Canis lupus familiaris: one gene and its partner. Each later gene encodes a partner of the first gene's protein in a complex. Links are inferred from orthologs where the notes say so. Each region holds a gene or a part of one and is shown in the gene's direction. Other genes may lie near its edges. The genes, in order: CDHR5 and MYO7B.

Region 1 (4,354 bases):
CGACGGCCGCCTGTGCCTGCGCTGGCCCGACTCGCCCGCCCTGCGCGCCTGGTGAGCACCGGCCCTGGGCCCGGGGGGCGCGGAGGTGAGGGGCGCTGGTGACCCGGAGGCCAGCTTCTCGCTCCCGCCTCACCCGCTGTGTCCACAGGGTGCCCCTGAGGGACCCCCTGGATCAGGCCTGGGCTCCCCAGCCGCCTCCCGGAACCGGGTCTGGGGCCTCGTTTTCGGAGCCGGCCATCCCTGCTGCCCAGGTGACACGGAGGAGGCCTTGAGGAAGAAGGGACCTGCCGCGGCAGCCGCCACGGCCGCCGCCCGGAGCCGACTGGGGCCTGGACGGGAGGGGGCAGGGGACGGGTTGTAACTGTCACCAATAAAGAGGAATTCAGACGGTGGCCCTCTGAGCTCCCTCTGCGCCGTCCCCCAGGGCGGGGCTGGCGGCACCAGGCGACCACAGGCTCCAGGACTGTGGCCACACCCAGTGCCCTTTACACCTGGGAGCCTGTGGGGCGCCTCACCTCCCTTCTGTCTCCTGTCCTGTCACCTGAGCTCCCCAGAGACCCATCCGGATCCCTGCCAGCTACTCAGCAAACATTCAGGGGCTCTGGGGGGGCACAGGACACCTGCCCTGGAGGCCCCTTGTCACAGTGCCAGCCGGTGGGAGGACCTGGGGGGCAAGGAGGCTCAGGCCGGGCAGGAAGAGGTGACGGGCATGGGTGCCACCAGGGGCCCAGGAGTGCACCCCAGGGGGAGGCTGTGAGCCTGGCTCCTGCTCCCGGCTGTGTGGTCTGAGCCTGTGCAGAGGGGGATGACACCCCAGGGGAGCCACGGAGGCGGTGCTGACACAGGAAGGGATGAGGCCAGGAGCCAAGGGCGAGGAAGCAGAAGGGCCACACCCCCTACTGTCCCTGCGTGGGGGGGGCCTCTCCCCTGCTGCCTTGGGCTTGGGGGCCCTTGGGGTAGGGCGGCAGGGGCCAGGGCCCAGGAGCCTGCCAGGGACCCCTGAAGACCCGGGCTCCCCCCGCCCCGAGCTCCCAGCAGCCTCCAGAAACACTGCCGCCCCCACCCCTGCCCTTGGAGGAAGTGGGGTGTTTCCAGCACAGGCAGGGGCGACCCCAGGACACAGACTGTGCAGGGAGGGGAGGTGGGCTTGGAGGGAACACCCGGGGTCTGACTTGGCTCCAAGATGATTCTGGAAGGAGAGCCCAGCGAAGGGGCGGCCGGGGCTAGGGGGACGGGTGGGTACAGCAGACACGGGAGCCAGGCCTGGGCCCCCAACCCCTGCCCCGGCTGCGCCCACCCAGCACGACCCGGGCCCTGCGCAGGCCCATGGAGCCCTGAGCCGGGAGCCCCCGTGGCCATGGCCCCCGCACGTGGCCCAGGGCTGGTGGGCAACCACGGGACGCCCCCTCCGGGCAGCTGGCCAGGCCTGGGCGGCGGCCGGCGAAAGCCCCCCTGCTGGAGGCCGAGGCCTGTAAAGGATCACACTGTGGGGCGGTGCCTGGTGGGGCAAAGGTCGCCCGCTGAGCCGCCACCCGGCAGCCAGCTGCGCACAGGGTCGAGCAGCGCGGCCCACGGAGATGGGGGCTTGGGCCCTGCTGCTGCCGCTGCTGGTGGCCACGGCACGGGCCCAGGGTAGCTGCGGGGCGGCGGGGGCAGTTGGGGCGGCGGGGGGGGTGCAGGGGCGGGGGGGTGGGGGGCACTGAGCCTTCCCTTCCTGCTCTCCAGTCTGCGCCGTAAGCAACAACATCTTCGAGGTCCAGGAGAACACGATTCAGAGCGGGCCCCTGGCTCACATCGACGTCCCCGCGGGCCAGCAGGTGACCCTCGGGTCGTCGTCCACTCCCTTCGCCTTTCGGATCCAGGGGACTGAGCTGTTTCTCAACGTGACTCCTGACTATGAGGTGCAGACGGGGGGCCGGGTGGGGCCCCACACAGGGCAGCTGAGTGGCGGGCGCGCTCCTCGGACCGGGGCTGTCCCAGGCTCGGGGTCCGTCTGCTCGGGGTCCGTCTGCGCTTCGCTGGCCGCCCCGCCCCCGCATCATCCACGGACCCCTCTGGGGCCTCCAGGCTTGGTGATGCCCTGGCCCCAAGGGGCATAGGGCCATTAGGGGCTGGAGCTGCCCCTGGACTTAGCGTGGACGCTGGGGACCCTGGTGACCACCCGGCCCCCGTCTGCCCCCCAGGAGAACACCCTGCTGGAGGCGCACCTGGAGTGCAAGAGTGGCAACACCGTGGTGAGTACCCCCATCCCCTGCCTCTGGGTCGCCGCCCCCACCCTATGACATCACAGCTCTTGGGCTTGGACCTCTGCACTCTGTTCTGACTGGTCCAGGGCCCCGCCCTGGGGACCTCACCCTGTGCGGTTTACAAGTGTCGCTCCTGGGCTGGCGCCCCCACTTCCTCCCGCCCAGACTGCCCCGAGGTGCAGACCCCCCAGCACAGAGGCACCTTGCCCAACCGGTTCCCTCGCCCCCACCCCCTCCCCACACCTCTCTCCATCGGCAAGTCCGTGAGCTCTGCCTGAAGCTGGACTCCAGACCAACCAGGGCCTTGGCCACCAGCATCTCCCTTCCGGAAACTTGGAGCTGGCTGCTTGCTCCCCTCCCGGCCTCAGCCAGTCCAGTCTCAGTGTGGCAGGACCATCGGGCCCAGCCAGCGGCGCATCCCCGCCCGGCGCCCCGGCTGCTCTCCCGCTCAGAGGCAAGGCTGAATGCCCCGGGCAGCGGGCAGCGCCAGGTGCCCCAGCCCGAGGCCGCTCCAGCTGCCCTTGAGCCCTCTCCCCAGACGCGCACCTGCCTCCCGCTGTCGCCCCTCGGCCTTCGCTCCAGGACCACCTTCTCAAGGGGCCCCTGACCACTCTGTCCTGAGCTGCAAGCCCGGCCCCCACGCACCTGTCGGCTTGCCCACGGTCCCCGGTCCTTCCGATTTTGTCATTATCTGCAAAGGGACTCGTGGGCATCATGTGACCCCCGATGCCCGCCCTCCCCACAGTCACGGAGCCGCCAGCAAGGCCCACCCAGCGAGGCCGCCGGCTACTTCTCTCTAGCATCTGCCCCTCCGGCCCTTCCTCTCTAGTGTGTTTATTGAAGCAATCTCTCCCCTCAACGTGGGCCTGAACTCCCACCCCGAGATCAAGAGTCGCCCCCTCCTCCCACTGAGCCAGCCGGGTGCCCCTCCCGAGCCTCTTTCAACATATGGGTTCCCCTTCCTCTCTTCCTTTCTCCTCGGGAATTATTTTTGAAGCGATTTGCTCATTTCGCCGTGGTTCTCACCTGGGATTGGCGGTGCCCCAGCCCGGCCGGTAGCCAAGTCCTTTGCCCGGGCACCTGCCGTCCCCGGGCTCGCGGCGGCCCGTGTGTGATGCAGGGTGCTCAGGCCGTGTCCCCGCAGGTGACCCAGCTGAGGGTGATTGTGTTTGTGCTGGACGTCAACGACAACCCACCCAAGTTCCCCTTTAAACTCCGGGTGGAGGACGTGCCCGAGGTGAGAGCCGGGGGGCGGGGGGCGAGGGGCCGGAGAGCAGGGCTAGTGGCCTGGGCCTTGGCCTGGGGGACCAGGGGTCGAGGGTGTAGACACCACTCCCCTCCATCCCCAGGACAGTAAAGTGAACACCACTGTCATCCCTGAGACGGAACTGGAGGCTCAAGATCCCGACAAGGATGACGTCTTGTTCTACACCCTCCAAGAGGTGACCCCGGTCAGTGTCCCCGACCCCCACGCCAACTCTGAACCCTCCCGTCGGGCAGCCCCTCTCCATGTTCCCCAGGGTCTCAGGCTGAGTCGCACCCGCCCCCCCCACCTCCCCAGGGTGCTGGTAGCTTCTTCTCCTTGCTGGGCACCAACCTGCCCGCCCTGCGGCTGGACCGGCCCCTGGACTTCTACAAGTGGCAGAACATGAGCCTCCTGCTGCTGGTGCGGGTGAGCAGGCCGGGACACCCCCCCGCTGCCCCCAGCCCCCGCTCGCAGGCCTGACCCCCGCTGCGCTCCCACAGGACACACAGGAGGAGAACGCCCAGCCCAGCCACACAGCCACGGCCACCCTGGTCCTGGACGTGCGGCCCGCCGACCTCCGGCCCCCCTGGTTCCTGCCCTGCGCCTATTCAGACCTTTACGTCTGCATCAACGCCGAGTACCAGGGGGCCATCCCCACAGGCCACAGACTGGTACTGGGGGTGGGGGGGCGGGGGGTGTGTGGGCTTGGGGCCCTGCGGCCGGGCCAGAACCCCTGGGGACCCGCTGAAGTGGGCCGCCCGCCACAAGAGGCACCCCAAGGCGCCGGGGGCAGCGGGGCAGACGCGGGCTCTAGGCCCCCATGGTACCGAGCACGTGTACCGAGTGCAGCCTCGGTGTGACT
Region 2 (3,799 bases), on another chromosome or scaffold:
TCCCACTGCAGACAACAGCCAGGCCACCAAACTGAGCTCTGAGTACCATCCCCACAGCCACTTAATTTCCCATTTACAGACAGGGAACTGGAAGCTCAGAGCAGGGAAGCAGATGGTCCAGGGTCACAGACCTTAGGGGTGGGGGACTGAGCCCTGAGCTGGTCTAGGTGTTGGCCACCTTCCCTACAAGCCAGCACTGCAGCAAGAGCTGAGCACCCCTGGGAATTAGGGGGTGCAATGACTGCAAGGACCTCAGGAGGGAGCCGGGTGGCCTACTGGGATGGAGAGAAATGTGTGCTGGGAAACCTCATCCCTGTTGCCCATTACATCTGCCAACTGCCTGAGACAGAGGAGGATGCAGGCTCAGGAGGCCTCACAGCACAGAGAGCAGGTCCCCTGAGGCTGGGGACTGCCCGCCCCTGCCTGCCCGGGCTGTGTGGCCAGGAAGGCCACCACCACTCAGCCTCACAGTGGCCTTGGGCCCACCACTCCGTGTCTGGCTTTCCTCACCTCCTGAAGGAGACAGACCACAAAATGCCAGCACAGTTTCTGGCCTCTGCAGCGCCCTTGGTAAGTGGTGCTTTCCTGCCCCTGTGTGTGACCTGGAATTGCAGATGACACCACCATCCTGCCCTTCAAGAAGGGGGACCTGCTGATCCTGACAAAGAAGCAGGGGTTGTTGGCCTCTGAGAACTGGACCTTGGGCCAGAACGACAGGACAGGCAAGACGGGGCTGGTGCCCACAGCTTGCCTCTACACCATCCCAACGGTCACCAAGCCCTCGGCACAGCTGATGGTAACTCATATGCTCATCTATTCTCAGCCCAGGCACCTGTGGGCACATGAGGATGAGGCTTGGTTGCTAGCTCAGGGGCTCATACCCCACCTTGTAGAGAGCCAGGAGGTCACCTGGGCATTAGGTCTGCTCTGCCGCCCCTGTCATCCCTCTGGGGTGACCACGAGCCTGGCACAGTATCTGTGTACTGACCTGCACAGCGCTTGGCACTTCACAGATGCTCCCACTACAGTGTGTCCTGGGAACAAACCCACCCTTTCCCCACTGTCAGCCTTGATTAAACCTGACCCATGGGGGCCCAGGTCTCCCTACCCACAAACCACTCACCCCAGCCCCTAAAGCCAGCTCCACAGAGACAGGACAGATAGGCATTCCAGTATTCACATATTGAGTGCCAACCGTGTGCCCCATGCACTACAGCACTGAACACCACAGTGACTCTACCCTCAAGGAGCATTTAGGCAAACAATCGATGGCTAGTGTACAAAGTACCACCAAGAAGAAGCACTGGTTGTTCTGGGAGCGAATAATAGGATAGGGGCTTGCCCTGTCAGCAGGGCATCCCAGAAGAAGTGACATTGTGCTGTGGCCTGAGGCAGGTAGGGAACCGGGCAGGCAGGGGCGGGATGCCCCTGAGAGGTGCCCTGGGGAAGGGGAGCCTCGTGGGTCTGAGAAGCCTCCCTAAGGAACAGGAACAGGCTTGGAGACATTGAGACAGTGGTCATGGGTCACACACAAGGTGACACGAGAGGGGTAGGCCCAGGCCTGTACAACCCTGTGGTCAGCCCCTCCCATGGCACTGGAGCAACCAGGCCAGGAAGGAGCCCACAGGAAGAGCCCTGTGGGCAGTGGAACCCATAGGCCTGTGCCTCTACAGAGTTTGCTGGCCATGTCACCAGAGAAGCGGAAGCTGGCAGCCCAGGAGGTGCAGCCCACAGAGCCACTGCCTGAGGAGCAGCCCAAGGAGAAGCCACACACCCTGGAGGAATTCTCCTACGAGTTCTTTAGGTGCCCACTCAGGCCCCCACCAGGCCCTGCCAGCCCCTCGGTGTTCCCTGAAGTTCACAGGGAAGCCATGGAGGCAGGTGCAGTGTCCACCTGGCCTCTGCGGAGCAAGAGGAGGGCAGGGCGGGGCCTGGGCTCTCCCTCGACAGTACACACATGGGCAGAGAAGGCTTGAGAAAGGCCCTCACACCAGCCACCATCCCTAACAGGGCCCCAGAGAAGGAGACAGTCAGGAGGACCATGTTGCCCCTGGGCCGGACACAGGGCCACCTGTGGGCCCACTCATCCGAGCCACTGCGGCAGCCTCTGCTCAAGCAAGTCCACGCCAATGCCGAGCTCCGGGACCCTGCCTGTCAGATCTTCATTGATATCCTTCCCCGGCCAGCCTGGCCCCGCTCTGTGTCAACCCCGCACGCACAGGCCCCAGCGCCACCCTGTGAAGGGCACGGGCCCCGGGAGCGCAGGGCAGAGGCAGCATCCGCGCACGGGGCTGGTCGGGCCGTGTGGGGCCAGGGCCAGGTCAGAGGTAGCAGGCGGCCAAGCTGGCACATCCTCCTTGACAGCCACACGCATCCTCCGGTACATGGGTGACTACCCATCTCGACAGGCTTGGACCTCCGTGGAGCTCGCCGACCAGATCTTCTCGTTGGCCCTCCAGGAGTCAGCCCTGCGGGATGAGGTCTACTGCCAGATCCTGAAGCAGCTGACACACAACACCACGAGGTCTGCTGGGGACAGGGAGGGCCCGAGGGCACCAGCTCGTGGGGGCCGCCAGCCTGCCCGGCCCTGACAGCAGCACTGAGAAGGCTGCGGCCCTCATCCGTCCTGCGCCTTCTTGGGGGTGGTCAGAGCAGGGAGGGAAACGGACCTGCCTTGGTCCCTGCCTTCTCCCGCCCTTTCTCCTCTGTGACCTGGCCATGTCACGGGCTCTCCAAAGCTCAGTGCCCCCCTCCATAAAACGGGCACGATGGTACCCCCACCCCATTTTATGCATGTGAAAACCTTTGGAGGCATCAGGCCGCTGGGCAGCAGCTTCCTTGGCTGCGGCCTTGGGCGGGCCTCACACCCCATCTGCCCACTGGCCCAGGCCTGTAGAGGATCCTTTCTGAGCTCATAGGCATTTCCGCCTCCAGGTACAGTGAGGAGCGGGGCTGGCAGCTGCTGTGGCTCTGCACTGGCCTCTTCCCCCCGGGAAAGGCGCTGCTGCCTCATGCTCAGAAGTTCGTAGACACGCGGAGGAAGAAGCTATTGGCTCCCGACTGCAGCCGGCGCATCCAGAGGATCCTGAGGTGAGCCTGCCGGCTCCCTGCCCTTTCAGGAGCATCTGCCTATGGATGCTGAGGGGCCCATCTGGCCCTTCCAGGGCTTGTGGTCCAATGGGGACACCTGTCCATGAAACCAGGTTCTGTGTCCTCTCCAGAAGCTGGTGTCCACTTAAGGAGACAGGCCCAGGCCCCCAGCAACCTGCACAGAAGCCAGGAGCGAGGTTCTGAAGGTCTGACAGGCCTGGATGGTCAGTGGATGCTGCTGGCAGGCTGTCTTAGCCATGGGCTCTTCCTACCCTAACAGCTGCCTATTCAGGGCACAGGAGGAGCTGCCTGGAGGCCAGAGTGTGATGTCAATGCCCCAAGCCACCCAACTCCCCACCCAGCCCAGCCAAGGGTGGCCAAGATGGGAGGCCACTCCCTGCCAATCGATGTGGCCAGCCCTCCCATAGTGGGGCAGTTCTTCCTTGGCTGTCTTGATTCTCATCCACGCCACCTGTCCTGTCCAGCTCGGCCTCCTGTGGCTAGGGGAGATAGTGCTTCGGCCATGGTCATGGAGGGGGAACTGGGTGCCCTCAGAGAAGCCCTGCGGAGATGCCCCCGCTGTATGAGAATGAGAACCCACGTCTCCCTGGCACTGGTGCTCTGCCCAGATCCCCCTCCCATGTATGTCCTGGCCTCCCCAGCCTCCTCGGAGCTGCAGGGCACCTGGGAAGTGAGTCCAGGCTGGCCT

Evidence for each region.
Region 2: CDHR5 (region 1) and MYO7B share a complex: the UniProt entries of both Homo sapiens proteins name them as parts of the IMAC/intermicrovillar adhesion complex. The link is inferred for Canis lupus familiaris from reciprocal best matches to the Homo sapiens genes CDHR5 and MYO7B.

What each region holds. Positions count from the first base shown.
Region 1 is NC_049239.1:26,066,367-26,070,720, reverse strand, and holds the start of CDHR5 (cadherin-related family member 5), read left to right. Parts: upstream 1-1,511; 5' UTR 1,512-1,577; coding exon 1,578-1,632; intron 1,633-1,725; coding exon 1,726-1,901; intron 1,902-2,183; coding exon 2,184-2,234; intron 2,235-3,390; coding exon 3,391-3,483; intron 3,484-3,595; coding exon 3,596-3,697; intron 3,698-3,807; coding exon 3,808-3,918; intron 3,919-3,992; coding exon 3,993-4,163; intron 4,164-4,354. UniProt on the Homo sapiens protein: Intermicrovillar adhesion molecule that forms, via its extracellular domain, calcium-dependent heterophilic complexes with CDHR2 on adjacent microvilli. Thereby, controls the packing of microvilli at the apical membrane of epithelial cells.
Region 2 is NC_049240.1:24,340,437-24,344,235, reverse strand, and holds part of MYO7B (unconventional myosin-VIIb), read left to right. Parts: intron 1-614; coding exon 615-796; intron 797-1,673; coding exon 1,674-1,804; intron 1,805-2,010; coding exon 2,011-2,168; intron 2,169-2,370; coding exon 2,371-2,524; intron 2,525-2,934; coding exon 2,935-3,090; intron 3,091-3,799. UniProt on the Homo sapiens protein: Myosins are actin-based motor molecules with ATPase activity. Their highly divergent tails are presumed to bind to membranous compartments, which would be moved relative to actin filaments.